4 linked regions of the Anolis sagrei genome follow. The protein of the gene in region 3 purifies or fractionates together with the protein of the main gene of each other region. This does not show direct contact. Links are inferred from orthologs where the notes say so. Each region holds a gene or a part of one and is shown on either strand. Other genes may lie near its edges. The genes, in order: TGFBR2, SMAD4, SMURF2 and TGFBR1.

Evidence for each region.
Region 1: the proteins of SMURF2 (region 3) and TGFBR2 purify together in Homo sapiens (affinity purification with western blotting; 3 studies listed by BioGRID). This does not show direct contact. The link is inferred for Anolis sagrei from reciprocal best matches to the Homo sapiens genes SMURF2 and TGFBR2.
Region 2: the proteins of SMURF2 (region 3) and SMAD4 purify together in Homo sapiens (affinity purification with western blotting; 3 studies listed by BioGRID). This does not show direct contact. The link is inferred for Anolis sagrei from reciprocal best matches to the Homo sapiens genes SMURF2 and SMAD4.
Region 4: the proteins of SMURF2 (region 3) and TGFBR1 purify together in Homo sapiens (affinity purification with western blotting; 8 studies listed by BioGRID). This does not show direct contact. The link is inferred for Anolis sagrei from reciprocal best matches to the Homo sapiens genes SMURF2 and TGFBR1.

What each region holds. Positions count from the first base shown.
Region 1 is NC_090026.1:82,528,655-82,535,996, reverse strand, and holds the start of TGFBR2 (TGF-beta receptor type-2), read left to right. Parts: upstream 1-4,337; 5' UTR 4,338-4,634; coding exon 4,635-4,710; intron 4,711-7,342. UniProt on the Homo sapiens protein: Transmembrane serine/threonine kinase forming with the TGF-beta type I serine/threonine kinase receptor, TGFBR1, the non-promiscuous receptor for the TGF-beta cytokines TGFB1, TGFB2 and TGFB3.
Region 2 is NC_090022.1:287,005,790-287,013,794, forward strand, and holds the start of SMAD4 (mothers against decapentaplegic homolog 4), read right to left. Parts: upstream 3,002-8,005; 5' UTR 2,683-3,001; intron 1-2,682. UniProt on the Homo sapiens protein: In muscle physiology, plays a central role in the balance between atrophy and hypertrophy. When recruited by MSTN, promotes atrophy response via phosphorylated SMAD2/4.
Region 3 is NC_090022.1:179,909,999-179,917,731, forward strand, and holds the start of SMURF2 (E3 ubiquitin-protein ligase SMURF2), read right to left. Parts: upstream 3,018-7,733; 5' UTR 2,982-3,017; coding exon 2,503-2,981; intron 1-2,502. UniProt on the Homo sapiens protein: E3 ubiquitin-protein ligase which accepts ubiquitin from an E2 ubiquitin-conjugating enzyme in the form of a thioester and then directly transfers the ubiquitin to targeted substrates.
Region 4 is NC_090026.1:60,590,344-60,597,420, reverse strand, and holds the start of TGFBR1 (TGF-beta receptor type-1), read right to left. Parts: upstream 3,010-7,077; 5' UTR 2,930-3,009; coding exon 2,800-2,929; intron 1-2,799. UniProt on the Homo sapiens protein: Transmembrane serine/threonine kinase forming with the TGF-beta type II serine/threonine kinase receptor, TGFBR2, the non-promiscuous receptor for the TGF-beta cytokines TGFB1, TGFB2 and TGFB3.

The sequences.
Region 1 (7,342 bases), on a different chromosome or scaffold from region 3:
CCCGGTGGTGCAGTGGGTTAAACCACTGTGCCAGCAGGACTGAAGACCGACAGGTCGCAGGTTCAAATCCCGGGAGAGGCGGATGAGCTCCCTCTATCAGCTCCAGCTCCTCATGCGGGGACATGAGAGAAGCCTCCCACAAGGATGATAAAAACATCAAATCATCTGGGCATCCCCTGGGCAATGTCCTTGCAGACGGCCAATTCTCTCACACCAGAAGCGACTTGCAGTTTCTCAAGTCGCTCCTGACATGACAAAAAAAATTCACTGGGCCAAATTTGGACAAATACCTGATATGCCCAAATTTGAATACTGGTGGGGTTGGGGGGGGGGGGCATGATTTTGTCATTTGGGAGTTGTAGTTGCTGGGATTTACAGTTGACATACAGGGTTAGTCAAAATGCATAGGCCAATAAGCCATTCAATTGAATGGCTTATTGGCCTATGCATTTTGACTAACCCTGTATAATCAAAGAGCATTCTGAACTCCCCCAACGAAGAAATTGACCCAAACTTGGCACATAGAACTCCCACGATCAACTGTGTTTTCTGATGGTCTTTGGTGACCCTTCTGACACTCCCTCATGAACCCTCTCCCCGGGGTCCCGACCCCCAGGTTGAGAAACACTGGTATAGGAATAAAGCAAATGCAAAGCCTGGATCATGTTTGTAATATCTTGTTTGGTTGGTTGGCAAGCAACAGCTCAACAAGCACCAACATGATGACCACCTCATTTTGAATTAGCTTCTTCCTTTGGACTATCAAAGACAACTTCATGCAAAGGGCATTACAGTTGTGGTTAAGAAAGTTGATCACAAGTTTGAAAGCATTTTTGTTCGCTATCACCATGACAATCTTGAGATTCAAAACCCTATATACTCATGCATATATAAAGAAACTTTAATTGAAAATATGACTCAGGGTGCATTAATTCTACATTGCAGAATTAATGCAGCTTGTCTGGAGCATGGGGCTAGGCCAATTCTATTTCCACTTGCTTTCTGCTCATTTATTATGCATTTAGATCCTAAAATATGAAGAAAATTAGTACCTTTCAGGAACTCTAGCACAAATGCATCATTAAAACTAATCATGAAGATAACAAAATTTGGTTTATATATTCCGAGAAACTGAAAACGATGCCATAGTTGCCTCTATATGAAGGATGATTATGGGCAACAGATGTTCTAATTTAATTATGACTGGGAAACAAGCAAAATGTGGTGTACATTTCTGACAGTTTGAAATCAGACTTTTACAGAAACTTTTCTGCGTGTAACTTTCCGTAAATGCCTTTGCTTGAGGCTGAACATTTTTGCACTAATATAAACAGATGAATGAATTCCTCAGAACAAGTAAAAACTAGCAGAAATGGTTCAGCAACAGGAAAAAAGAAAGCAAAACGCTCTGAAATTCAAAACAGTAGTACAATTTGTTGCTCATTAGCACCATGCAAAAGTATTTTGTTGTATTTCAGGAATGGTGGACATTGTTATATTACAATTCCTATCATTCTTTACCTTTTTACTGTGCTGGCTAGAGCTAATGGGAGTCATAGTCCAACAAAGTTTAGAAAACAGGTTTCTAACTCTTCATGTATTTATCTCACTCCGATTTTTGCACCAGGAGGCAGAAAACATGTTCTGCGTAATACATTTTGCAGACATGACAGTATACTGATTATATCTCAGCAGGCATGACGAAATTCAGAACTGTGTAAATGTAAGAAACCTTAGATTTGCAGCTAAATGCAGCTTTTAATGGGTGAATTATATGGCTAAGAATCACACATCAATACTGTTTGACCTTGTAAAACTACAACTCATGATTCTATAGCATTAAGCTAGATCAGTATTTCTCAACCTGGGGGTCACAAGGGGGTTTTAGTGGGTCACCAAAGACCATCAGAAAACATATATTTCTGATGGCCTTAGGAACCCCTTTAGCAGAGAAGGCCGAAGATCTCTCTGCCTGTCCTTCCCTTTCTTTTTGGAAACAGACGGCAAATCTTCCCACCAAAAGCTCTCCTGTGCTGTGATTGGCCGACCTCTCAGCCAAGGGGAGGGCTGTTTCTGAGACACCAAGCAGGGGAGGGGAGAGCAGGCATGTTCGGCACATAGCAGAATGGTGCGCATGTGCGTGTGAGGTTGGAGGGAGGCTTGGGCCACAGGTTGAGAACCACTGTTCTATACATAAACACACATATGCACACTGGTAGGCCTGGAGGGCCAAAGTTTGCTCATGCCTGATCTATAGGCATGTATCTGTCTGTGCGTATAACTTTGTGTGTATGTATGTGTATGTGCTTGTCTGTGTGTATAAGTATGTATGTGAGTGTATGTACATGTCTGTGGTTTACTTGTGTGTATGTATGTGAGTGTATGTGCCTGTCTGTATGCATAAGTTTGTGTGTATGCATGAGAGTGTATGCACCTGTCTATGTGTATGTGAATGTATGTGCCTGTTTGTGTGTATAAGTTTGTGTGTATGTATGTGCGTGTCTGTGTGTATAAGTTTGTGTGTTGGTATGTGAGTGTATGTGCCAGTTTGTGTGTATGTATATATGTGCCTGTTTGTGTATATGTATACGAGTGTATGTGCCTGTAAGTGTGTATAAGTTTGTGTGTATGTATGTGAGCGTATGTGCCTGTCTGTGTGTATAAGTTTGTGTGTACATATGCAAGTGTATGTGCCTGTAAGTGTGTATAAGTTTGTGTGTATGTATGTGAGCGTATGTGCCTGTCTGTGTGTATAAGTTTGTGTGTACATATGTGAGTGTATGTGCCTGTGTGTATAAGTTTGTGTGTATGTATGTGAGTGTATGTGCCTGCTTGTGTGTATGTATGCGAGTGTATGTGCCTGTAAGTGTGTATAAGTTTGTGTGTATGTATGTGAGCGTATGTGCCTGTCTGTGTGTATAAGTTTGTGTGTACATATGTGAGTGTATGTGCCTGTGTGTATAAGTTTGTGTGTATGTATGTGAGTGTATGTGCCTGCTTGTGTGTATGTATGCGAGTGTATGTGCCTGTAAGTGTGTATAAATTTGTGTGTATGTATGTGAGTGTATGTGCCTGTCTGTGTGTATAGGTTTGTGTGTATGTGCCTGCTTGTGTGTATGTCTACGAGTGTATGTGCCTGTAAGTGTGTATAAGTGTGTGTGTATGTATGTGAGTGTATGTGCTTGTCTTTGAGTATAAGTTTGTGTGTATGTATGTGAGTGTATGTGCCCGTTTGTGTGTATGTGTGTGCCTGTAAGTATGTGTAGGTTTGTGTGTATATATGTATGTGAGTGTATGTGCCTGTCTGTGTGTATAAGTTTGTGTGTATGTATGTGAGTGTATGTGCCTGCCTGTGTGTATAAGTTGTGTGTATGTATGTGAGTGTATGCACCTGTCTGTGTGTATGTATGCGAGTGTATGTGCCTGTTTGTGTGTAAGTATATGAATGCATGTGCTTGTCTGTGTGTATAGGTTTGTGTGTATGTATGTGAGTGTATGTGCCTGTTTGTGCGTATGTATGCGAGTGTATATGCCTGTCTGTGTGTATAAGTTTGTGTGTATGTATGTGAATATATGTGCCTGTTTGTGTGCATGTGAGTGTATGTGCCTGTTTGTGTGTATGCATGTGACTGTATGTGCCTCTCTGTGTGTATAAGTTTGTGTGTATGTATGTGCGTGTCTGTGTGTATACGTTTGTTTGTATGTATGTGAGTATATGTGCCTGTTTGTGTGCATGTGAGTGTATGTGCCTGTTTGTGTGTAAGCATGTGACTGTATGTGCCTCTCTGTGTGTATAAGTTTGTGTGTATGTATGTGCGTGTCTGTGTGTATACGTTTGTGTGTATGCATGTGAATGTATATGCCTTTATGTGTGTATAAGTTTGTGTGTATGCACGTGAGTGTATGCGCCTGTCTGTGTGTATAAGTTTGTGAGTATGTACATGAGTGTCTGCACCAATCTGTGTTTATGTATTTGAGTGTATGCGCCTGTCTGTTAGGAATTGTGGAAGCTGAAGTCTAAAACACTGGAGGGCCGAAGTTTGCCCATGCCTCATCTATAGGCATGTGCTTGTCTGTGTGTATAAGTTTGTGTGCGTGTATGTGCGTATATAAGTTTGTGTGTACATATGTGAGTATATGCGCCTGTCTGCGAGTATGTTTGTGTGTATACATGTGCGTGTATGCGCTTGTCTGGGTGTATAAGTTTGTGTTTGTGTGTCTGCATGTGTGTAGAAGTGTGCGTGCGTGCGGTGTGTGCCTGTCAGGGCGCGCTGGGGCGAAGCGGTTCCAGAGGAGAAGGAGGAGGAGGAGGAGGGCGGGCCAGCGGAGAAGGAACTCCAGCCAGAGTGAAGAAAGTCCTGCCCAGCTGTTTGCGAACTTCGAAGGTTTCCTGTTTCCCCTGCAGGCAGGCAGGCAGGCAAGCAAGCAGGCCGGGCTGCAGCGAGCGGAGGGGCGTGAGTCACAGAGGCACGCACTCCCAGCAGCAGCAGCAGCCGCCCAGCCGCCCATCCGCCTCTGCTCCTTCGGCTGCCTCTGGCGGGGCCTCCTCGGCTGGCTGTGGTTCCCCCTGGAGCCCCCAAAGAAGCCCTGGCCGCCTCCCCCCCGCGCGCGGGCGCCCAAGGCACGGATGTACCATGAGCTGGCTTGCCAAGCTCGCTTTGGTGTGGACTCTGCTGCACATCGCCACGCCCGCGCTGGCCCGGGCCACAGGTAAAGCTCGCACCAGAGGTTTCCCCCTCTTGCGTTCCAGCAACGCTCCTGAGAGAGAGAGAGAGAGAGAGAGAGAGAGAGAGCCACAGCTTTGGAGATGGTCAGGAGCTCCCTTGGGTTGCCTCAGGGCCACTTCCTCTCCCGCTTCAGCGCTTGGGAAAGTTCAGAGGAACTTTTCTGTCCGGTTCTTCTCCCCTATATTTCTCTTTGTATCCAGAAGGAAACCTCTCCCTTACTAGGAGGGGAAAGGGTGGCCTTAGAAGCGGCTGAGGGGGAAAAGGAAGGGGGCTGAGGCTGTTAGGAATGGTGGGAGTTGGAGTCCAAAACACCTGGAGGGCCCAAGTTTGTCCATGCCTGCCTTAAGTGATCATTTTCTCTCAGCTTGGCCCCAAAAGGAGCCACTCTTGGCTCTATTTGCCAGGAATAGAAGGTTATTCCAAAGAAATAAGGGTTACAGTGCCTTTAGGACTGTGGTTCCCAATTTTCCGACCGCCACGACCCCTTAATACAGTTCCTCATGTTGTGGTGACCCCCCCCCCCCCAACCATAACATTATTTTCGTTGCTACTTAATAACTGTAATTTGCTACTGTTATGAATCATCATGTAAATATCTGATATGCAGATGTGTTTTTGTTCACTGGACCAGATTTGGCACAAATACCCCATACATTTGAATGCTGGTGGGGTTCAGGGAGAGGGCTGATTTTGTCATTTGGGAGTTGTAGTTGCTGGGATTTATAGTTGACGTACAATCGAAGAGCATTCTGAACTCCACCAAGGATGGAATTAAACCAAACTTGACCAACAGAAAATACTAGAAGGGTTTGGTGGGCATTGACCTTCAGTTTTGGAGTTGTAGTTCACCTACATTCAGAGAACACTGTGAACCCAAACAGTGATGGATCTGGACCAAACTTGGCACGAATCTATATAAATAAAATGTAATGTTAGTTTGTGGGATTGACATAACTCAAAAACCACTGGACGAGTTGACACCAAATTTGGACACAAGACACCTATCAGGCCAACGAGTGACCATCACTCATAAAAGCAAAAATAAAGAAAAAACACACAGCAGAAAGGACTTAAAAAGCCAAAAAACAAAAAAAATAACATTACAACACATGCGCAAAACCACATATATACACACACATATATACACATATACACAAATACACACACACACATACACATATATACACACACAAAACACATATACAGAGACTGGGACACAGCAGCACACGTGGCAGGGGATGGATAGTACTCAATATGCCCAAAGGTGAACACTAGTGGAGTTTGGGGAAAATAGACCTTGACATTTGGGAGTTGTAGTTGCTGAGATTTATAGTTCACCTACAATCAAAGGGCATTCTGGACCCCATGAACAATAGAATTGGGCCAAATTTCCCATATAGTACCCCCCCCCCCATGACCAACAGCAAATACTGTGTTTTGCAAGCCCCTCTGAAACCCTCTTGTGACCCCCCCCCCAGGGGTCCCAACACGCAGGTTGAGAAACACTGGCATAGGGGAACTATATCTTGTTTGCTGCTTTTTCAGCTGTGGGTCCTCACCCCAAATAGCGTCCCTTTCGCTTAATAAAATTGGTAACAGTCCAAGGTATGCTGCCTATTTATATAAATCTGTTGGCGGGGGGGGGGGGGGAGTTTAAAATCTGGTTTACTCATGAATTTTAACTGGTTAACAAATTCTTGGGTAACTAGGTTTTCTTAATCCCCCCCCCCCCCTGGTTCCAGACCTGGTTAGCAGTAATATGCAGCGTTTACTGTGGACTCTGCAGTAAATGCTTCACAGCTGTACTGCACAAAAAGGGAAAACCAACCTGTTTAGCAATCCTTCATTTGTTCCCAGTAAGTATTTGATTTTTATACAAGTATGTACCTAGGACCAAAAGGGGTTGCGAGTGAAAGAAGTTTAAGAAGTCCTTCTGCAGCTGACAAGTTTGGAGTGCAATGCTTCACATTAGGGAACTATATTCTGAGATGGTATATTGGGGGCACAGTCCCTTAGAATAGTAAAGGTAAAGGTTTCCCCTTGGCATTAAGTCTAGTTGTGTCCTACTCTGGAGAGTGGTGCTTATCTCAATTTCTATATAGTAGTGTAGTAGTAATAGTAGTAGTGGTAGTAGTAGTAGTAGTAAATTTTATTGATTAGCCCTTAGGCCATTTCACAATACCAAACCAAACAAAAAGGCTTGATAAAACTTGATTTCACTCTGTATAGCAAGTTAAGTAAATCACTTATAACAATATACTAAATAAATATGATAAAACTGAATATATACATAATGTTTCCATTTCTAAGCCGAAGAACTGTTGTCGTCTGTATACGCCTTCAAGAACATGTGGCCTGCATGACTGCAGGGAGCGCCGTTAGCTTTCTGCCTGAGGAGTTCCTATTAATCTACTCACATTTGCATGCTTTCAAATTGCTAGGTTGGCAGAAGCTGGGGCTTCTGCCAGATTCGAATCGCTGACCTTTCGGTCAGCATGTTCAACAGCTTAGCGCTTTAACCCACTGTGCCACCAGGGGCTCCATAGCATAGGACAACTATATCCTGTAGTTGATAAGTTGGGAGTCCAGTGCCTTAGAATAGTGGGACTGTATCT
Region 2 (8,005 bases), about 110 Mb from region 3:
TGGCATTTGAACCTTGCTGATTGAATTCTTCCTTGATTTTAAATGTTATGTATTACATGTGTATATTGTGAACCGCTGAGCCTCCGGGGAGTGGTGGTATACAAAATTGATTAATAAATAAATAAATATAAATAAATAAATATTTTAAATAAATAAAGCCATCACTTTGAATTGTGCCGGGTAGCAAACTGGCAACCAGTGAAGGCGGCGTAACAGAGGGGCTGTATGCTTGAACGCTGCTCCGGCAAACAATCTGGCTGCCGCCCATGGGACTATCTGAAGCTTCTGAACAGTCTTCAAAGGCAACCCGATGTAAAGTACATTGCAGTAGTCTATACGAGATGTATGCAATACCTCATTATGGATGTATATGCAAAAGACAGGTATTCCAAAATCTAGTGTAAGACTAGTTCAGTGGTTCTCAACTTTCCTAATGCCGCAGCCCCTTAGTACAGGTCCTCATGTTGTGGCGACCCCCAACCATAATATTATTTTCGTTGCTACTTCACAACCGTAATTTTGCCACTGTTATGAATGGTAATCTAAATATCTGATATGCAGGACGTATTTTCAGTCACTGGACCAAATTTGGCACAAATACCCAATACTCCCAAATTTGAATACTGGTGAGGTTGGGTGTGATTGATTTGGTCATTTGGTAATGCTGGAGTTGCTGGGATTTATAGTTCACCTAAAATCAAAGAGCCTTCTGAACTCCACCAATGATGGAACTGAATCAAACTGGGCACACAGAATTCCCATGACCATGAGAAAATACTGGGAAGGTCTGGTGGACATTGACCTTGAGTTTTTTGGAGTTGTAGTTCACCTACATCCAGAGAACACTGTGGACTCAAGCAATGATGGATCTGGATCAAACTTGGCACAAATACTCAATATGCCCAAATGAGAACACTGGTGAGGAGCCTTCTAATCAAGGTGAAAGAAGAAAGCGCAAAAGCCGGGTTGCAGCTAAACATCAAAAAAACCAAGATTATGGCAACAAGAATGATTGACAACTGGAAAATAGAGGGAGAAATCGTGGAGGCCGTGACAGACTTTGTATTTCTAGGTGCAAAGATTACTGCAGATGCAGACTGTGGCCAGGAAATCAGAAGACGCTTCCTTCTTGGGAGGAGAGCAATGTCCAATCTCGATAAAATAGTAAAGAGTAGAGCTATCTCTATGGATGTGAGAGCTGGACCTTGGGGAAAGCTGAGCGAAGGAAGATCGATGCTTTTGAACTGTGGTGTTGGAGGAAAGTTCTGAGAGTGCCTTGGACTGCGAGAAGATCCAACCAGTCCATCCTCCAGGAAATAAAGCCCGACTGCTCACTGGAGGGAAGGATACTAGAGACAAAGTTGAAGTACTTTGGCCACATCATGAGGAGACAGCAAAGCCTAGAGAAGACAATTATGCTGGGGAAAGTGGAAGAGGGGCCAACCAAGGGCAAGAGGGATGGATGGCATCCTTGAAGTGACTGGACTGACTTTGAAGGAGCTGGTGGTGGTGATGGACGACAGGGAGCTCTGGCGTGGGCTGGTCCATGAGGTCACGAAGAGTCGGAGATGACTGAACGAATGAACAACAAATGAGAAAATACTGGGAAGGTCTGGTGGACATTGACCTTGAGTTTTTTGGAGTTGTAGTTCACCTACATCCAGAGAACACTGTGGACTCAAGCAATGATGGATCTGGATCAAACTTGGCACAAATACTCAAAATGCCCAAATGTGAACACTGGTAGAGTTTGGAGAAAATAGACCTTGCCATTTGGGAGTTGTAATTGTTGGGATTTATAGTTCACCCACAATAAAATAGCATTCTGGACCCCACCGATAGAATTGGACCAAACTTTCCACACAGAACCCCCATGACCTATGTTTTCTGATGGTCTTTGGCGACCCCTCTAACACTCCCTCACGACCCCCAGGTTGAGAAACACTGGACTAGTTAAATCAGGGCCGAGACAACTTTGAGTGTTTTAGAATCATAGAATCAAAGAGTTGGAAGAGACCTCATGGGCCATCTAGTCCAACCCCATTCTGCCAAGAAGCAGGAATATTGCATTCAAATCACCCCTGACAGATGGCCCTCCTGCCTCTGTTTAAAAGCTTCCAAAGAAGGAGCCTCCACCACACTCCGGGGCAGAGAGTTCCACTGCTGAATAGCTCTCACAGTCAGGAAGTTCTTCCTCATGTTCAGATGGAATCTCCTTTCTTGTAGTTTGAAGCCATTGTTTCGCATCCTAGTCTCCAAGGAAGCACAAAACAAGCTTGCTCCCTCCTCCCTGTGGCTTCCTCTCACATATTTATACATGGCTATCATATCTCCTCTCAGCCTTCTCTTCTTCAGGCTAAACATGCCCAGCTCCTTAAGCCGCTCCTCATAGGGCTTGTTCTCCAGATCCTTGATCATTTTAGTCGCCCTCCTCTGGACACATTCCAGCTTTGGACTCCATCTCCCACAATCCCTAACAGCGCTGTTAGGAATTGTGGGACTTGGAGTCCAAATAATTTTAAACTGGCCAGACTTCCCTCCACATTAAGAAGCCCAAACTCGCCTAACTTGGTGGGACTGATGAGGCAAACCCAGTTCAATCCCTTCACGAGGACCAACGATGGCCACACAACTCCCCAATGGTTGCCAACTCTAAATCCATCCCTGGGAGTTCCTACTCGCCTGGGCCTGGGCCGGGACCCTTCCGTCGCCGCGGCCTTCCTTCCCCGGCCCGCGTCCTCCCTCCTCGCCTCCGGAAGGCGAGAATGAGGGCAGTCCACGGCCGCCGCCGCCGCCTCCTCCACTGCGCCTGCGCACGGTTGAAACTCAGGCGCGAGGAACGTTCCAACCGACCGCCGAGGCCTCCTGCGTCGCCGTGTTGTTGTTGCTGCAGACACGTCCGAGGCAGATTGCGCCGCGCATGCGCCACATCCGGGGTCCTGTTTCCCCTCGCAGACTGCGCATGCGCCTCCAGGCCACTATGGTTCCTCGTTTCTTTTTCCCTCCTTGCCGCCTGCGGGTCAGTCCCTCAAACTGCGCATGCGTCCCATCTCACTCCCAAGCCCTCATTGCCGTCCCACAAACTGCGCATGCGCCCCAATACTACTACGCTTCCTCGTTTGTTTCTCTCTCCAAGCCCTCATTGCCGCCTCTTTCAGTCCCGCAAACTGCGCATGCGTCCCATCTCACCCCCAATCCCTCATTGCCGTCCCACAAACTGCGCATGCGCCCCAATACTACTACGCTTCCTCGTTTGTTTCTCTCTCCAAGCTCTCATTGCCGCCTCTTTCAGTCTCGTAAACTGCGCATGCGTAGTGTCGGGAAATATCCCTTGTGATTTCCCTTGGAAAGGATGCGGGAGGGCGGGCGCGACGCTGACTTCGTAAAGTTTATGGTTGTCGTATCCTTTTCAAGAAATGAACATGCGTGGAAGGGTGTTTTTTTTTAGACACTTTCCATACAGCTGTATAAAAATCCACATTGAACTGGATTATATGGCAGTGTGGACTCAGATAACCCAGTTCAAGGCAAGATTCTGGGAAAGATTGTTAAGGAAGTGGTCTGCAAACACTTAGAAACAAATGCAGTCATCGCTAATAGTCAACATGGATTTATCAAAAACAAGTCATGCCAGACTAATCTGATCTCTTTCTTCGATAGAGCTACAAGCTGGGTAGATGCGGGGAATGCCGTGGATGTAGCGTACCTGGATTTCAGTAAGGCCTTCGACAAGGTCCCCCATGACCTTCTGGCAAGGAAACTAGTCCAATGTGGGCTAGGCAAAACTACGGTGAGGTGGATCTGGAATTGGTTAAATGGACGAACCCAGAGGGTGATTCTCCCCAATGCTTCCTCTTCATCCTGGAAAGAAGTGACGAGCGGAGTGCCGCAGGGTTCCGTCCTGGGCCCGGTCCTGTTCAACATCTTTATTAATGACTTAGATGAAGGGCTAGAAGGCAGGATCATCAAGTTTGCAGACGACACCAAATTGGGAGGGATAGCCAATACTCCAGGGGACAGGAGCAGGATTCAAAACGATCTTGACAGATTAGAGAGATGGGCCAAAACTAACAAAATGAAGTTCAACAGGGACAAATGCAAGGTACTCCACTTAGGCAGGAAAAACGAAATGCAAAGATACAGAATGGGGGGTGCCTGGCTCGAGAGTGGTACGTGTGAAAAAGATCTTGGAGTCCTCGTGGACAACAAGTTAAACATGAGCCAACAATGTGATGTGGCGGCAAAAAAAGCCAATGGGATTTTGGCCTGCATCAATAGGAGCATAGTGTCTAGATCTAGGGAAGTAATGCTACCCCTCTATTCCACTTTGATTAGACCACACCTGGAGTATTGTGTTCAATTCTGGGCACCACAATTCAAGAGAGATATTGACAAGCTGGAATGTGTCCAGAGGAGAGCGACTAAAATGATCAAGGGTCTGGAGAACAAGCCCTATGAGGAGCGGCTTAAGGAGCTGGGCATGTTTAGCCTGAGGAAGAGAAGGCTGAGAGGAGATATGATAGTCATGTATAAATATGTGAGAGGAAGCCACAGGGAGGAGGGAGCAAGCTTGTTTTCTGCTTCCTTGGAGACTAGGACGCGAAACAATGGCTTCAAACTACAAGAGAGGAGATTCCATTTGAACATGAGGAAGAAATTCCTGACTGTGAGAGCCGTCCAGCACTGCCCCGGAGTGTGGTGGAGGCTCCCTCTTTGGAAGCTTTTAAACAGAGGCTGGATGGCCATCTGTCAGGGGTGATTTGAATGCAACATTCCTGCTTCTTGGCAGGGGGTTGGACTGGATGACCACGGTGGTCCACGCTCTTGTCACATCCCGGTTGGATTACTGCAACGCACTCTACGTGGGGTTGCCTTTGAAGACTGCTCGGAAACTTCCAGCGAGAAGCAGCCAGATTGCTCACCGGAGCGGCGTACAGGGAGCACACCACCCCCCTGTTGCGTCAGCTCCACTGGCTGCCGATCCAATTCCGAGCACAATTCAAAGTGCTGGTTTTGACCTACAAAACCCTATACGGTTCCGGCCCAGTGTATTTGTCCGAACTGATCTCCCTCTACATCCCACCTCGAAGTTTAAGATCTTCTGGGGAGGCCCTGCTCTCGACCCCGCCAGTGGCACAAGTGAGGCTGGCGGGGACGAGGAGCAGGGCCTTCTCAGTGGTGGCCCCTCACTTGTGGAACTCACTCCCCGGGGAGATCACATCGACGACTTCCCTTCTAGCGTTTAGGAAAAAACTAAAGACCTGGATGTGGGACCAAGCTTTTGGCCATGCTGACAACTAACTAAAGGACCTGTCGATAGACAAGGACAATGGAATGGAATGGATATATGGACTCTGATATATGGACTCTGACATGAGATAGTTTTTATGATTTTATTAGGTATTGATGTTTTATTTTAATTGTTGAATTGTTATATTTTGTATTGTTTGTTGTGTGATTTGGGCATCTAATTGTGCCTTTCCTGTAATCCGCCCTGAGTCCCCGTCCCCCCCCGGGGTGAGAAGGGCAGGGTATAAGTAGATAAAATAAATAAATAATAAATAAATGAGGTCTCTTCCAACTCTTTGATTCTATGATTCTATGACTTCTTGTTTGGATAGGTCCAAAGGACAGGTTGCTTGCAAGAGCATAGGTACATGCTATGTATTTCCTTACCAGCAAGAAATAATCAAAATAATATAATCCAGTTTTTAAAATCAACACATTTGTTGAGTGTCAAAAACTAGAATGTCAAAATCCAGTATTTTGGAGCCACCAACTGGAAAGGCATTCAGTCTGCCATGACATACAAATGGACCAGGACCCAGCTTGCGGAAAGGCGTTGAACGCGCAAGTGATTAGCTACAGGAAATTTTCCTTGGCTTGGCCCATGAAGAGAAGGAAACCCTGACTGAGCTGAGTCAGCCCCTGCTATTTAAAGGACAGAATGTGTTTGCAGCTGGAATCGTCCATCTAAACCACACCCTGTTTATTTGAACATGGGCAAGATTTAGCTCTCCGTACCCACTGGGCTTGCCGAGTTTAAATTTAGATCAAGGATATCTGAGCTAGAGAGGGGATCTGGGAGGGAGGGAGGCTGCCAGGAGTGTGTTCAAACTCTGGATGCACTTGAATTCGGTAGCTAAAGGGGAAATGAGAGCTCTCCTGTTTCGTGACATCTTATACCACGGGGAGAATAAACCACATTTCTGAAGTCTTTGCACCTCCCTGTTCCACAAAGCTGTTTTTGCTGGCGGTGGCACATGGAACATGAAATGCCTCCAACTTAGCAAGGAGGCACGCACACAACCCTACTATTAAACTTCAAAGCACTACAATCCTGCTTGGAAATAATTTGTTTGCTGTCCACTGGGCTGAATTAATTCTTGATCTCCAGAATGAATTCCCAAATAGGATGGAGTCAACATGGTAGAACTAATGCAAGTTTGAGACAACTTTAACTGCCATGGCTCAATGCTATGGAATCATGGGTGTTGTAGTTTGATGAGGTACCAAAGACCATGTAAAACTAGAACTCCCATGATTCCATAGCATCGAGACATGGCAGTTAAAGTGGTCTCAATCTGCAGTAATTATGCAGTGTAGAAGCACCCTGAGAGGAAAGGAACTTTTTTGCAGAGTTTGATAGGATTTGTTGGTTGAAGGCTTTCTTGGCTGGAATCACTGGGTTGCTGTGAGTTTTCCGGGCTGTATGGCCATGTTCCAGTTGCATTCTGTCCTGATGTTTCACCTGTATATGTGGCAAGCATCCTCAGGGGTTTGTTCAGAGGTCTGTGGAAATGAGACAAGTGGAGTCCAGGGTCGGAGAAAGAACCCTTGTCTGTTTGAAGCAAGTGTGAGTGGAGAGTCAGCATCTGCCAGGAGCTGAGATGAAGCCAGGATATTTCAGGCTGGAAAAACATCTATCATTTATTTACATTATTTGGAACAACATCAGCAAGAAATATTACTATATAAGAGACCTTCTAATATTTCTAAAATTGTGGCAGATTGGAGGAGTCTGGTCCACCCGCCATGCTCTCTCCATGGGAAGGAAAGAGATGGTGTACCTTTGGAAGTGGCAGATCTGCAATGGAACACAGTCTGGTCCTTGCCTCCTTTTCTCATGGGAAGAGAAAGGAGTGTAATTTTGGAGTCCTGATACATTTGCAGTGAGTCAGTTCCTGCTGTAGGGAAAACGGATCTGATCCTTGGCATTGTGTTATGGCTTTCTGGAAGTTTTGGAACTGTCTGTTGGCTGCAGGGAAAGCAGGGTCTGGCTTAAGCAGGTGCTTTTCCAAGGAGAGAGAAAGGAGAAGGTATTATTTGGATGCATGAGGATGAATGAATATGTATGGTTAATGCGAATGCAGAGTAAAAATGTATTTCCCCTTTGTTTGTTAACCAATATAACTGTAGGTTGTTTGTGGATTCAATGTATGTTAGCATGTCTGTATGTATGTTAGCATGTCTAAATGTTGTTCTTTGTGTAAAACTGTAAAGGTTTTGATACACTTTCTCTTACTGGGCCAGGCTATAGAACAACTGCTAAATCACCACCAACAGCAATAAGATCTACCAACTGAAAGTTTGCTAGTTCAAAGCCCAGGTCAGAGTGAGCACCTGACTGTCAGCCCAGCTCACTGTTTACCTAAGCAGTTCAAAAACAGCTTAGAGCTGTAAGTAGAGAAATTAGGTACTACTAAAAAGCGGGGGAGGTATTTTATGACACCATAAAAGAAAAAGACCAGAAAATGCTGGTGACCAAACAGAAGGAGGAAGACCTGATGGCGCTTCGTCATAGAGAATGGATCGAAAGCACCCACCCACCCACCCCCACGGCTGGATTTGAGCACAGAAAGCTGGATGTCAACACAACATGTCTCCTTTCTGTCTGTTCTGTCCTGTCTGTCCAAATGGCATTAAATGTTTGCTGCGTATATAAACTATGATCCACCCAGAGTATTGTTGCTGTTGTTGTTGTTATTATTATTATTATTATTAT
Region 3 (7,733 bases):
CACTGTAATCAGATAGAACTGGATTATATGGCATACAATCTGGTTCAATGCAGTTCAATCTACATTATATGAGGCCTCTTCTACACTGCCATATAAAATCCAGATTATCTGCTTTGAATTTGATTATCTCACAGTGTAGACTCATATAATCCAGTTCAAAGGAGATAAAGTGGATTATCTGATTTGATATTCTGGGTAATATGGCCGCGTAGAAGGGACCTGAGACTACACTAACCATATAATGCAGTTCAAACTGCATTATATTGCAGTGTAGATGGGGTGTACTAAGACCCTTTCTACACGGTCATATAAAATCCAGATTATCAACTTCGAACTGGATTAAATGGCAGTGTAGACTCATAATCCAGTTCAAAGGAGATAGCATGGATTATCTGCTTTGATAATCTGGACTATATGACAGTGTAGAAGGGCCCTTAAAGAGTTGCGAAGAGGTTTCAGTTTTGAATCCCTCCTTTCCGGTTCCTTTTAAAATTGACCATACTTTAGAATCCTATGCTGTATAGAGAGGAAATGAAATCAGGGGTTCTTTTACACAGCCATATAATCCAGAATATCAAGGCAGAAAATTCCACAGTATCTGCTTTGAACTGGGGCCCCTTCCACACAGCTGTATAAAATCCCATATTGAATTGGATTATATAGCAGTGTGGACTCAGATGTTCCAGTTCAAAGCAGATATTGTGAGTTATTGTGCCTTGATATTATGAGTTATATGGCTATGTGGAAGGGCCCTGAGTCCACACTACCATATAATCCAGATAATGTATGATTTTATACAGCTGTAAGGAAAGGTCCTCAGATAGCCCAGTTCAAAGCAGATATGGGATTTTATGCCTTGATATTGTGGGTTATATGGCTGTGTGGAAGGGCCCAGAGTCCACACTGCCATATATTCCAGTTCAAAGTAAATAATGTGGGGCTGTATAATCAGCTGTGGGAAAGGGCCCTGAGTCCACATTACCATATATTCTAGTTCAAAGCAGATATTGTGGGATTATATTCAGCTCAAGGGTCTGGAGAACAAGCCCTATGAGGAGCGGCTTAGGGAACTGGGCATGTTTAGCCTGAAGAAGAGAAGGCTGAGAGGAGATATGATAGCCATGTATAAATATGTGAGAGGAAGCCACAGGGAGGAGGGAGCAAGCTTGTTTTCTGCTTCCTTGGAGACTAGGGCGCGGAACAATGGCTTCAAACTACAAGAGAGGAGATTCCATCTGAACATTAGGAAGAACTTTCTGACTGTGAGAGCCATTCAGCAGTGGAACTCTCTGCCCCGGAGTGTGGTGGAGGCTCCTTCTTTGGAAGCTTTTAAGCAGAGGCTGGATGGCCATCTGTCGGGGGTGATTTGAATGCAATATTCCTGCTTCTTGGCAGGGGGTTGGACTGGATGGCCCATGAGGTCTCTTCCAACTCTTTGATTCTATGATTCTATGATTCTGTGGAAGGGCCCAGAGTCCACACTGCCATATAATTCTGATAACGTAGGATTTTATACAGCTGTAAGGAAGGGCCCTCAGATAACCCAGTTCAAAGCAGGTATTGTGGGATTTTCTGCCTTGATATTCTGAGTTATATGGCTGTGTGGAAGGGGGCCTGAGAGCTGAAGAGAATATCACATTTTTTGCTTTGAACTGGGATATATGTGGACTCAGATAACCCAGTTCAAAGTAGATACTGTGTGGTTTTCTACCTTGATTTTGTGGGTTATAGGTCTGTGTGGAAGGGCCCAGAGTCCACACTGCCATATATTCCAGTTCAAAGCAGATATTGTGGAATTGTACTCAGTTGTGTTGAAGGGCCCAGAGTCCATACTGCCATATATTCCAGTTCAAAGCAGATATTGTGGGATTGTATATTCAGCTGTGGGAAAGGACCCAGAGTCCACACTGTCATATATTCCAGTTCAAAGCAGATATTGTGGGATTATCTGTGGGCTCTTCCACACAGCGGAATAAAACCCTACATTATCTGCTTTGAATTGGGATATCTTGCAGTGTGTGTGGAAGGGCCCTGAGTCCACACTGCCATATATTCCACATAATCCAGTTCAAAGTAGATACTGTGGGATTTTCTGCCCTGATATTCTGGGTTATATGGCTGTGAGGAAGGGCCCAGAGTCCACAGTGCCATATATTCCAATGCAAAGCAGATAATGTGGGGTTGTACTCAGCTGTGTGGGGAAGGGCCTCCAGAGTGGCTTGCTGCCTCCTGAGGCCTTCCCTTGAGGCTTTCTGAGGGAGACTGCAGGTTCAACCTCAAAGCCATGGAAGCCTTGTGTGTGTGTGTGTGTGTGTGTGTGTTCCCCTTCCCCCCACTCCCCTTCCCCGCTTTATTTCCCCAGCCCCCCAACGCTGTGAGCCTTCTTCTCTCCTTTGGAAGGCCCCGTGTTTCCTGAAGTAACGCCTGAACAGGAGCACAAGGCTGTTTCTCCCCCCCCCCCCCGCGCCCCTTCCTCCCTCCCTTTCTCTGCCTGTCTCTCACCTGTCAGTCGCAGCTTGACGGGCCCGTTCCTCCGGGCCCCGGGGTTGGACATGACCCCCTCCCCCCGAGGAAGGCAGGAGAAGGCGGAGGAGGGAAGGCAGGCCTGCTAATGGAGGCGGCTCAGGGAAGAAGCAGCAGCAGCAGCAGCAGCAAGCAGGAACAGCGGCGGCAGCGGCAATCGCCGCCGAAGGGAGAAATGCCCGGATGTGCCCAGTGTCGCCATGAGCAGGGCTCGCCTCAGAAGAGGAGGAGGAGGGAGAGGAGAGGAGGCCGCCTTCCTTCCTTTCTTCCTGCCTGCCTTCCTTTCCTTCCTTCCCGCCCTCTTGTCGGGCAACAAAGGCGGGGAAGGGAAGCCAGAGGGCTGTCCCTCCTCCACACAAAGGGGGTCTCCGCTGTAAAACCGCCTGCCCCGCCTCCTCCTGGCTGCTGGGAGGCTGCACTGGATTCTTAACGCAGTTTGGCCCTGCTTGAACTGCCATTGGGTCCTGAGCTGCCTTTTCTGTGGGCCCTTCCACACAGCCTTATATTTCATGATATCAAGGCCCACAGTATCCACACAGTCCTATATCCCACAATATCAAGGGAGAAAATCCCACAGGATCTGTTTTGAACTGGGTTATTTTGAGTCCACACTGCCATATATTCCAATTCAAAGTAGAAAATGTGGGATTTTATTCAGCTCTGTGGAAAGGCCCTCAGATAACCCTGTTCAAAGCAGATATTGTGGGGTTTTCTGCCTTAATATTCTGGTATACAGGGCTGTGTGGAAGGGGCCTGGGTTATCTAAGTCCACACTCAAATAATAAGGGGTTTTCTGCTTTAATATTCTGGGATATAGGGCTGTGTCTGGGATCTGGCCGGGGTGGTCCATGCCTTGGTCACCTCTAGATTAGATTACTGCAATGCGCTCTACGTGGGGCTGCCCTTGAAAACGGCTCGGAAATTCCAACTGGTCCAACGGGCAGCAGCCAGGATGTTAACCAGGGCTCCATACAGAGAGAGGTCAACCCTCCTGTTCAAGGAGCTCCACTGGCTACCATTTATCTTCCGAGCCCAATTTAAGGTGCAAGTGCTTACCTTCAAAGCCCTAAACGGTTTGGGACCAGCCTACCTGCGTGACCGCATCTCCGTCTATGAACCCACACGTTCACTTCGCTCATCCAGAGAGGCCCTGCTCGTGATTCCGCCTGCGTCGCAAGCGTGCTTGGTGGGGACTCAAGACAGGGCCTTTTCTGTGGTGGCCCCCCGACTCTGGAACACCCTCCCAAAGATCTTAGACAGGCCCCTACACTGGCAGTCTTCAGAAAGAACTTGAAGACCTTGCTGTTCCGATGTGCCTTCCCAGATTAGGAATCTCCAATACCAAGTCCCAGAAGCACTTTAGTAGAACTAAGATCGCTGCACACCGCACACTGCACTTACTTTATAATCCTACATACCTCCTGCCACATCAGCACTTTTAATCTTGTACCCATTACCCTGGCCCGGCCCGGTTTTCATAGTGTCTTGATGTATTGTTTATTGCTTGTTGTTTATACTGCTTAACTGTTTTTAATTTGCTTTAGGTGTTGTTTTGCTTTGTTGTATTGTGTGTTGAGGCCTTGGCCTTTGTAAGCCGCATCAAGTCCTTTGGGAGATGCTAGCGGGGTACAAATAAAGTTATAATAATAATAATAATAATATAATATGGGGTTTTCTGTCTTGATATTCTGGGATATAGAGCCTGGGTTATCTGAGTCCACACTCCAATAATATGAAGTTTTCTGTCTTGATATTCTGGGATAAAGGCCTGCGTGGAAGGAGCCTGGGTTATCTGAGTCCACACTCCAATAATATGAAGTTTTCTGTCTTGATATTCTGGGATATAGGGCTGTGTGGAAGGGGCCTGGGTTGTCTGAGTCCACACTCAAATAATATGGGGTTTTCTGTCTTGATATTCTGGGATATAGGGCTGTGTGGAAGGGGCCTGGGTTGTCTGAGTCCACACTCAAATAATATGGGGTTTTCTGTCTTGATATTCTAGGATATAGGGCTGCGTGGAAAGGGCCTGGGTTATCTGAGTCCACACTCCAATAATATGGGGTTTTCTGCCTTGATATTCTGGGACATAGGGCTGCGTGGAAGGGGCCTGGGTTATCTGAGTCCACGCTCAAATAATATGGGGTTTTCTGTCTTGATATTCTGGGATATAGGGCTGCGTGGAAGGGCCCCATAGTCACCAAGGGCTCTTTCACACAGCTGTATAAAATCCACACTAAACTGGATTATATGGCAGTGTGGACTCGGGGCCCTCCACGCAGCCATATAACCCAGAATATCGAGGAAGAAAATCCCACAATATCTACTTTGAACTGGATTATATGAGGCCCTACCTACACTGTCATATAAAATCCAGATTATCTGCTTTGAACTGGGTTATATGACAGTGTTGACTCATATAATCCGGTTCAAAGCCAATAATCTGGATTATTTTATTTGATCATCTGGATTATATGGCAGCGTAAAGGGGGCTGAAGACTGGGGGCCCTTCCACAAAGTCCTATACCCCAGAATATCAAGGCAGGAAATCCCACAATATCTGCTTTGAACTGGGTTATCTGATGGCCCTTCCACACAGCCCTATATCCCTATATATAAGGCAGGAAATCTCACATCTGAGTGTGGATTTATCTAACCCAGTTCAAAGCCGATATTGTGGGATTTTCTGCCTTGATATTCTGCAATATAGGGCTGTATGGAAGGGCCCTGAGTACATACTCAGATAGTGTGGGATTTTCCACTTTGATATTCTAGGCTGTAGGGCTGTGTGGAAGGGCCTTCAATCTATACTACCCAATATCCCAGGATCTGATCACAAATTATCTACTTTGTACTGGATAATATGACTCGACACTGTCAGATAACAGTATGTAAAAAAAAGTTGGAAAAATTGTCTGTTCCTGGTTTGAAAGCGTTACTTCTCTTTTAATTGAGCGGTGTTTACTTTGAAACTAATAATCATAATAATTTTTATTTCTTACCCGCCTCTCCTCATGGCTTGAAGTGGCTGAGGCCCCTTCCACACTGCCCCTGTATCCCAGGATTTGATCCCAGATTATCTTCTTATCCCAGAGTATCTGTCAGTGGAGACTCATATAATCCCCTTTAAAGCAGAAAATCTGGTATCAGATCCTGGGATATGGGGTAGTGTAGAAGGGGCCTAACTTTGGAAGCAGTTGTTATACTCCATAAACTTCATTTTTGTGGCTGCCACAAACTATGTTGAATTGCTTGAGAATCAATGAAATATTCATTGAAAAACTATATCAAAATGTGCTGCAGGATGTCCCGCAAAAATGAAGTTATTGCATCTTAATAAACTTTTCCCATGTTTTCAGGATAGAACGAATTAGGAAATTACATTTATAACCCAGGCCCTTTCTACACTGCAATATAAGATCTGGATTATCTGCTTTGAACTAGATTTTATGGCAGTGTAGACTGGGCCCTTCCACTCAGCCGTATAACCCAGAATATAATGTGAGATAATCTGATTATCGGAGGGCCCTTCCACACAGCCATATAACCCAGAATATCAAGGCAGAATAATCCACAATATCTGCTTTGAACTGGAATATCTGAGTCCACACTGCCAGTTCAAAACAGATAATGTAGGATTTTATTCAGCTGTGTGGAAGGGTCCTGAGCCCACACTGTCATATAATCCGGTTCAATGTGGATTTTATACAGCTGTGTGGTAGGGACTCTTTCTACACTGCCAACAGTTCAAATCAGATAATCTGGATTTTATATGCAAGTGTAGATCCTGCCTTAGGGCCCTTCCACACAGCCATATAGCCCAGAATATCAAGGCAGATAATCCTCAATATCTGCTTCGAATTGTGTTATCTGAGTTCACACTACCATATCATCCAGTTCAATGTGGATTTTATACAGCTGCGTGGAAGGGGCCCAAGTCTTATCCAGGGCCACTTCAGCCTTATAAAGACCCTTGAATCCATGGAGGGAGAATCCATGAATACAGAGGGCCAACTGCAGGCAGTCCCAAGTTACAAATATCCCATTTACAAATTGCTCATAGTTAAGAACGGCGGGGGGGGGGGGGGGGGCAGGACAATAGGAAGGGAGTGAATTCTATCCCTAGGAAGGGAAATTCACTCCTGGAAGAGTTATTATCATGGGGAAAAGGTGGCTCCAATGAAGTTTTCTCACCAGTCCTTGTTTCCACAACAAACCACATTTTCCAAAATCCACTGGTCACAGGGAAAGAAAGTAAGGGAGATGTATTGTCGAAGGCTTTCATGGCTGGAATCACTAGGTTCTTGTGGGGTTTTTCGGGCTATAGGGCCATGTCCTAGAGGCATTTCTCCTGACGTTTTGCCTGCATCTATGGCAAGCATCCTCAGAGGTAGTGGAGGTAAGGGAGAATCTTTTGAACAGGGGCACAGTCAGCAAAACAAACACCATAGGGCTGTTAACCATTCCCTATGCTATCCACATATATATAGCTTGAATTACACCAACCTACATAAAAATTCAGTTTAAGAACAAACCTACAGAAACTATCTTGTTAGAAGATGGAGATTTAAATAGAAATGTAGTACATCTCACCACAGTGGAAAAGATTTTGTGGCCAGATGGTCTCCTCAATTTGCTATGTAGGTCTTAATTGTTGATGGACAACTTCTAAGCCTATGCTCTTTCTTCTTAGGGCCCTTCTACACTGCCATATAATCCAGGGCCCTTCCATGCAGCCCTATATCCCAGAATATCAAGGCAGAAAATCCCAAAATTTCTGCTTTGAAGTGGGTTATCTGAGTCTACACTCAGATAATGTGGGGATTTTCTGCCTTGATATTCTGGGATATAGGGCTGTGTGGAAGGGCCCTGAGACTATATAGTTATGGTGATCACTGGGGCCCTTCCACACATCCCTATATCCCAGAATATCAAGGCAGAAAATCCCACAATATCTGCTTTGAACTGGGCTATCTGAATCCACACTCAGATAATGTGGGGATTTTCTGCCTTGATATTCTGGGATATAGGGCTGTGTGGAAGGGCCCTGAGACTATATAGTTATGGTGATCACTGGGGCCCTTCCACACATCCCTATATCCCAGAATATCAAGGCAGAAAATCCCACAATATCTGCTTTGAACTGGGCTATCTGAGTCCATACTCAGATAATGTGGGGATTTTCTGCCTTGATATTCTGGGATATAGGGCTG
Region 4 (7,077 bases), on a different chromosome or scaffold from region 3:
AAAGGATCTTGGAGTCCTCGTGGACAACAAGTTAAACATGAGCCAACAATGTGATGTGGCGGCAAAAAAAGCCAATGGGATTTTGGCCTGCATTAATAGGAGCATAGTGTCTAGATCTAGGGAAGTATTGCTACCCCTCTATTCTGCTTTGGTTAGACCACACCTGGAATATTGTGTCCAATTCTGGGCACCACAATTCAAGAGAGATATTGACAAGCTGGAATGTGTCCAGAGGAGAGCGACTAAAATAATAAAGGGTCTGGAGAACAAGCCCTATGAGGAGTGGCTTAAAGATCTGGGCATGTTTAGCCTGAAGAAGAGAAGGTTGAGAGGAGATATGATAGCCATGTATAAATATGTGAGAGGAAGCCACAGGGAGGAGGGAGCAAGCTTGTTTTCTGCTTCCTTGGAGACTAGGACGCGGAGCAATGGCTTCAAAGTACAAGAGAGGAGATTCCATCTGAACATCAGGAAGAACTTCCTGACTGTGAGAGCCGTTCAGCAGTGGAACTCTCTGCCCCGGAGTGTGGTGGAGGCTCCTTCTTTGGAAGCTTTTAAACAGAGGCTGGATGGCCATCTGTCGGGGTGATTTGAATGCATCATTGCTGCTTCTTGGCAGGGGGTTGGACTGGATGGCCCATGAGGTCTCTTCCAACTCTTTGATTCTATGAATTAATGTATTGTTTTTAATTGTTTTGCACTACAAATAAGATATGTGCAGTGTGCATAGGAATTAATTCATATTTTTTTCAAATGATAATCCGGCCCTCCAACAGTTTGAGGGACTGTGACATGGCCCTCTGTTTACAAAGTTTGAGGACCCCTCCTATAGATAATCTGTGCATGTTACACTGTGTGAAAGGACCCCCGGTGATTCAAGCCTTGGGCAACAGCATTGGCAAGGATGATTCTCCCTGTTTATGAAGGACAGCTGAAGCAACCATCTGTAAACACTGCAAGTTGTTGAGAACACATTCAGGTCATAGAATCACAGAATCATACAGTTGGAAGAGACCTCATGGGCCATCCAGTCCAACCCCCTGCCAAGAAGCAGGAATACTGCATTCAAATCACCCCTGACAGATGGCCATCCAGCCTCTGTTTAAAAGCTTCCAAAGAAGGAGGCTCCACCACACTCTGGGGCAGAGAGTTCCACTGCTGAACGGCTCTCACAGTCAGGAAGTTCTTCCTCATGTTCAGATGGAATCTCCTCTCTTGTAGTTTGAAGCCATTGTTTCGCATCCTAGTCTCCAGGGAAGCAGAAAACAAGCTTGCTCCCTCCTCCCTGTGGCTTCCTCTCACATATTTATACATGGCTATCATATCCCCTCTCAGCCTTCTCTTCTTCGGGCTAAACATGCCCAGCTCCTTAAGCCGCTCCTCATAGGGCTTGTTCTCCAGACCCTTGATCATTTTAGTCACCCTCCTCTGGACACATTCCAGCTTGTCAATATCTCTCTTGAATTGTGGTGCCTAGAATTGGACACAATATTCCAGGTGTGGTCTAACCAGAGCAGAATAGAGGGGTAGCATGACTTCCCTAGATCTAGACACTATGCTCCTATTGATGCAGGCCAAAATCCCAGGCTTTTTTTGCCACCACATCACATTGTGAGCTCATGTTTAACTTGTTGTCCACGAGGACTCCAAGATCTTTTTCACACGTACTGCTCTCCAGCCAGGCATTCTCCCCCATTCTGTATCTTTGCATTTTGTTTTTCCTGCCAAAGTGGAGTATCTTGCATTTGTCCCTGTTGAACTTCATTTAGTTAGTTTTGGCCAATCATCTCTCTAGTCTGTCAAGATTGTTTTGAATCCTGTTCCTGTCCTCTGGAGGAACAGCATTTCTCCTGACGTTTCGCCTGCATCTATGGCAAGCATCCTCAGAGGTAGTGAGGTCTGCTGGAAATAAGAAAATGGGTTAATATATCTGTGGAATGACTGGGGTGGGACAAAGAGCTCTCTGCTGAAGCTAGGTGTGAATGTTTCAGCTGATCACCTTCATTAGCATTTGAAGGCTTGGCTGAGCCTGGGAAAATGTTCTGTTGAGAGGTGTTAAGATGTGCCTGGTTGTTTCCTCTCTGCTGTTTTGCTGTAGTAATTTTAGAGTTTTTTCTAATACTGCTAGCCAGATTGTGTTCATTTTCATGGTCTCCTCCTTTCTGTTGAAATTGTCCACATGCTTGTGGATTTCAATGGCTTCTCTGTGTAGTCTGAAACATAACATACAAACAATCTACTCCAGCTGAAGGACAGCTGAAGCAACCATCTGTAAACACTGCAAGTTGTTGGGGACACATTCGGGTCAATGTCTAGTTGCCAAAATGTTTTTACTGTATGAGCCCCCAAGCAAAGTGTGTATGTGGGGAGAAGGGGGGGAGGCTTCTCCAATGGTGGGAGAAGAGGTGTCCAGCTGCTGCCTGAAAGGAGCGACGGTGGCCACAAAGGGCTGTGTGCGGGAGAGGGGGAAAGGGAGGCGGTCACGGAGGAGAAAGGGAGTCCTCCCCTCCCTCCCTCATGGAGCGCCTTTGCGCCAGGAGCGAGGCCCATCTGTTTTGGGAAACCCAGGGGCTGAGGGCGTCCCTCAGGCGACCTCGCAGGCCTTTTCAGCCTCGCCTTTTCGGAAAAGAAAGTTCGCTGTGTACTGCGCTCCAAGTCGGAAACGGCGAGGAACAGAAACACGCGGGAAAGAGAGAAAGAGTTGAGGGGAGGATGGGGTTTGCAGGCCGGAGGGCCCCCGACCAGCGCCATGTTGCCAACCAGGGGCGAAGGGAGCGAAGGGAGGCCCGCTTGACTCACCCGAGGCCGCCTCCGGGCGGAGCAGCAGCAGCAGCAGGAGGAGGCCCGCCGCCGCCCAACTCGCCCAGCGGAAGAAACTCGCGCGGGCTTCCCGCCTCAGGCGCTGAGGGAAGAAGGCGGCCGCCGCCATTGTCTCGCGCTGGTCCCCCTCCGCCTCCTCCTTGTCTTCCTCTTCCTCCTCCTCCTCTCCCCTCAGCCGAGCGGGACTGGGCCCGCCCCTCCCCCCCTCCTCCGTCCTTTCTTCCTTTCTTTCGCAGCCACTCAGCATCTGAATGGTGAGCGGGGCTCCCGCGACTCGGGCAAACAAAGCCCTCCCCTGATTGGCCAGCGCTGGTCCTAGGCTCCGCCCACGCCCCGCCGCAGACACAGGCCAGACAACAAGCCGCGAGGGGCGCCGCCGGCTGCGCGAAGGAGGAGGAGGACTTCTGTCTGCGGAGGCTTCCGTAGGAAGATTATTATTATTATTATTATTATTATTAACTTTATTTGTACCCCGCTAGCATCTCCCGGAGGACTCGATGCGGTTTACACAGGCCGAAGCCTCAAAACACAATACAATAGAAAACATAACACAACAATAGCAAAGCAAATCAAAACAATAAGCAAAATAACGACAATGGCAGTACATCAAGACATTGTTAAAAACTGGTTCGGCCGGCGCAATGGGGTACAAGGTTAAAAGTGCTGAATGGCAGGAGGCACGTAGGATTAAAAGTGCGGTGTGCAGCGACGATTAGTTATGCTAAGGTGCTACTAGGACTTGGGGTGGGGATTCCTAGTCAGAGAAGGCACAACGGAACAGCCAAGTTTTTAAATTCCTTTTGAAAACAGCTAGAGTAGGGGCCTGTCGGAGATCTTTTGGAAGGGCGTTCCAAAGTCGGGGGGCCGCCACAGAGAAGGCCCTGTCCCGTGTCCCCACCAAGCGCGCTTGCAATGTGGGTGGGATCACGAGCAGGGCCTCCCCAGATGACCGGAGCGAGCGTGTGGGTTCGTAGATGGAGATGCGGTCACGCAGGTAGGGTGCTCCCAAACCGTTTAGGGCTTTATAGGTAAGCACCTGCACCTTGAATTGGGCTCGGAAAATAAATGGCAGCCAGTGGAGCTCCTTAAACAGAGGGGTAGACCTCTCTTGATAATGAGCCCCGGTTAGCATCCTGGCTGCTGCCCGCTGGACCAATTGAAGTTTCCGAGCCGTCTTCAAGGGCAGCCCCACGTAGAGCGCATTGCAGTAGTCCATTCTAGAGGTGACCAAGGCATGGACCACCCCGGCCAGATCAGCCTTCACGAGGTATGGTCGCAGTTGGCGCACAAGTCTCAGTTGCGCAAAGGCCCTCCCGGATACCGCCGACACCTGAGCCTCAAGTGTAAGCGAAGAATCCAAGAGGACACCCAAACTGCGGACCTGTGGCTTTAGGGGGAGTGTAACCCCGTCCAACACAGGTGACCACCCTATACCCCGATCCGGTTTACGATCGACCAGGAGGACCTCTGTCTTGTCGGGATTGATCTTCAGCTTGTTCTTCCTCATCCAGGTCGACACAGCGGCCAGGCACTCGTCTAGCACCTGAGAAGCCTCCTTGGAATTAGGTGGAAAGGAGTAGTAGAGTTGTGTGTCATCCGCGTAGAGATGGCACCCAACTCCAAAACTCCGGATGACCTCTCCCAGCGGTTTCATGTAGATGTTAAAAAGCATGGGCGACAAAATAGAGCCTTGCGGGACCCCACAGGACAAAGGCCAGGGGTCAGAGCAGGCGTCTCCCAGCTTCACCATCTGAGTTCGTCCCTCCAGGAAGGGCAGTCGAGAAAGGGGAGGGGGCACGGCTCACTAGGACAGTGGTGTTCAACCTTCCTTATGACCCCTTAATACAGTTCCTCGTGTTGTGGTGATCCCCAACCATTGTTTTCATTAGGTTCTTGAGGGTTTTTTCGGGCTATAGGGCCATGTTCTAGAGGCATTTCTCCTGACGTTTCGCCTGCATCTATGGCAAGCATCCTCAGAGGTAGTGAGGTCTGTTGGAATTAGGACAATGGGTTTATATTAGGGCTGTCCAACCACGGAAAAATTTGTTTCTAAACTCGATTCGTTTTTAGGGGGTTTTTGCGTTTCGATTTTTAAAAGAATTCCGAACATTTTCTTTAAAAAAGTTCGATATTTACGAAATTTCGGAAAATACGAAACAATAACGAAACAATTACGAATCGATTCGTTAATGGCGGACGCGATCGCGCAATACGCTAAAAAAACCTCCAAATGGGACAGGGGGAACTTCTGAAGCTTCCCTCTCCCTCTGTTGTTGACTGTTGGTGTGACAATTATATTTTTTTTCACTGATAAAACAAACAGCAACCCTAAAACTTACACCAGACATGCGGAAATAATAACGAAACGATTTCGAACCAATTACAAAACAATACGAAATAAATTGGAAAAATTGTTTCGATTTTTAATTACTCTATTCCTGCATGGCTCAATATCGGACCGTAAGCTAATTTAAATACGAATTAATAACGAATTACGAAATTAACAAACGAAACCGCCCAGCCCTAGAAATCATCTATCGGACAGATGGCAAGCTATTCAATCTCAGCAGACTGAAAGCCAAAACCAAGGTTACAACAACATCTGATATAGAACTCCAGTATGCTGATAACAATGTCGTCTGTGCACATTCAGAAGAAGATCTACAAGCCACTCTAAACACCTTCACAGAAACATACGAGAAGCTCGGCCTGTCATTGAACATCGAGAAAACCAAAGTGCTGTTCCAGCAGTCACCAACCATCCCCTCCCCAATGCCAGAGATACAACTTAATGGTGTAACATTAGAAAATGTTGATCATTCCCACTACCTTGGCAGCCACCTCTCCACCAAAGTCAACATCGACACTGAAATTCAACACCGCCTGAGCTCCGTGAGTGCAGCATTTTTCCGAATGAAGCAGAGAGTGTTTGAGGACCAGGACATCCGTAGGGATACCAAGGTGCTTGTCTATAAAGCTATTGTCCTCCCAACCCTTCTATATGCCTGCAAAACGTAGACTATCTACAGACGTCACATACAACTCCTGGAACAATTCCATCAGCACTGCCTCTGGAAAATCCTGCAAATATCTTGGGAAGACAAGCGGACAAACGTCAGTGTGCTGGAAAAAGCAAATATCACCAGCATTGAAGCAATGGTCCTCTGCCATCAACTGGGCCGGCCACGTTGTCCGGATGCCTGACCACCGTCTCCCAAACCAGTTGCTCTACTCCGAACTCAAGAACGGAAAACGGAACGTTGGAGGACAGGAAAAGAGATTTAAAGATGGCCTCAAAGCCAACCTTAAAAACTCTGGCATAGACACTGAGAACTGGGAAGCTCTGGCCCTTGACTGCTCCAGCTGGAGGTCAGCTGTGACTAGCAGTGCTGCAGAATTCGAGGAGGCACGAGTGGAGGGTGAAAGAGAGAAACGTGCCAGGAGGAAGGTGCATCAAGCCAACCCCGGCTGGGACCGCCTTCCAGCTGGAAACCAATGCCTTCACTGTGGGAGAAGATGCGGGTCAAGAATAGGGCTCCACAGCCACCTACAAACCCACAAAAATAGTCATCAAGGAAGACCATCTTACTCGTCCAACGAGGGATCGCCTAAGTAAGTAAGTAAGTATGTTACAGAATTGGAGCAGTAGGAGCCTACGAGAACCATCCAGTCCAACCCACTACACCAGGGCTCCTCAAACTTTTTAAACAGAGGGCCAGGTCACAGTCTCTCAAACTGTTGGAGGGCCGGATTATAATTTAAACAATCAAATGAATAAAAATGTAATGTTCCTTTGTGGGATTAACATAACTCAAAAACCACTGGACGAATTGACACCAAATTTGGACAAAATACATCTATCAGGCCAACGAGTGACCATCACTCATAAAAACTGAAAAACACAGTGGAAGAGACTTAAAAAGCAACCTCCCCCCAAAAATACATTACAATGCATGTGCAAACCCACACACATATATACACAAACACACACATCTATGCATATACACACACAAAACACATACACAGAAAGGAGGAAAGAAGGAAGGAAAGAGAGAAGGGGGGAGGGAAGGAGAGAAAGAAGGAAAGAAAGAAGGGTAGAGAAGGAAGGAGGGAGAGAAAGAGAAAGAAAGAGGGAAAGAAGGGGGAAGGAGAGAAGGAAAGAAAGAAGGGTAGGGAAGGAAGGAGAGAAATAAAGAGGGAAAGAACAAGGGAAGAAGGAGGGAAGGAAAGAAAGCAGGGTAGAGAATGAAGGAAGGA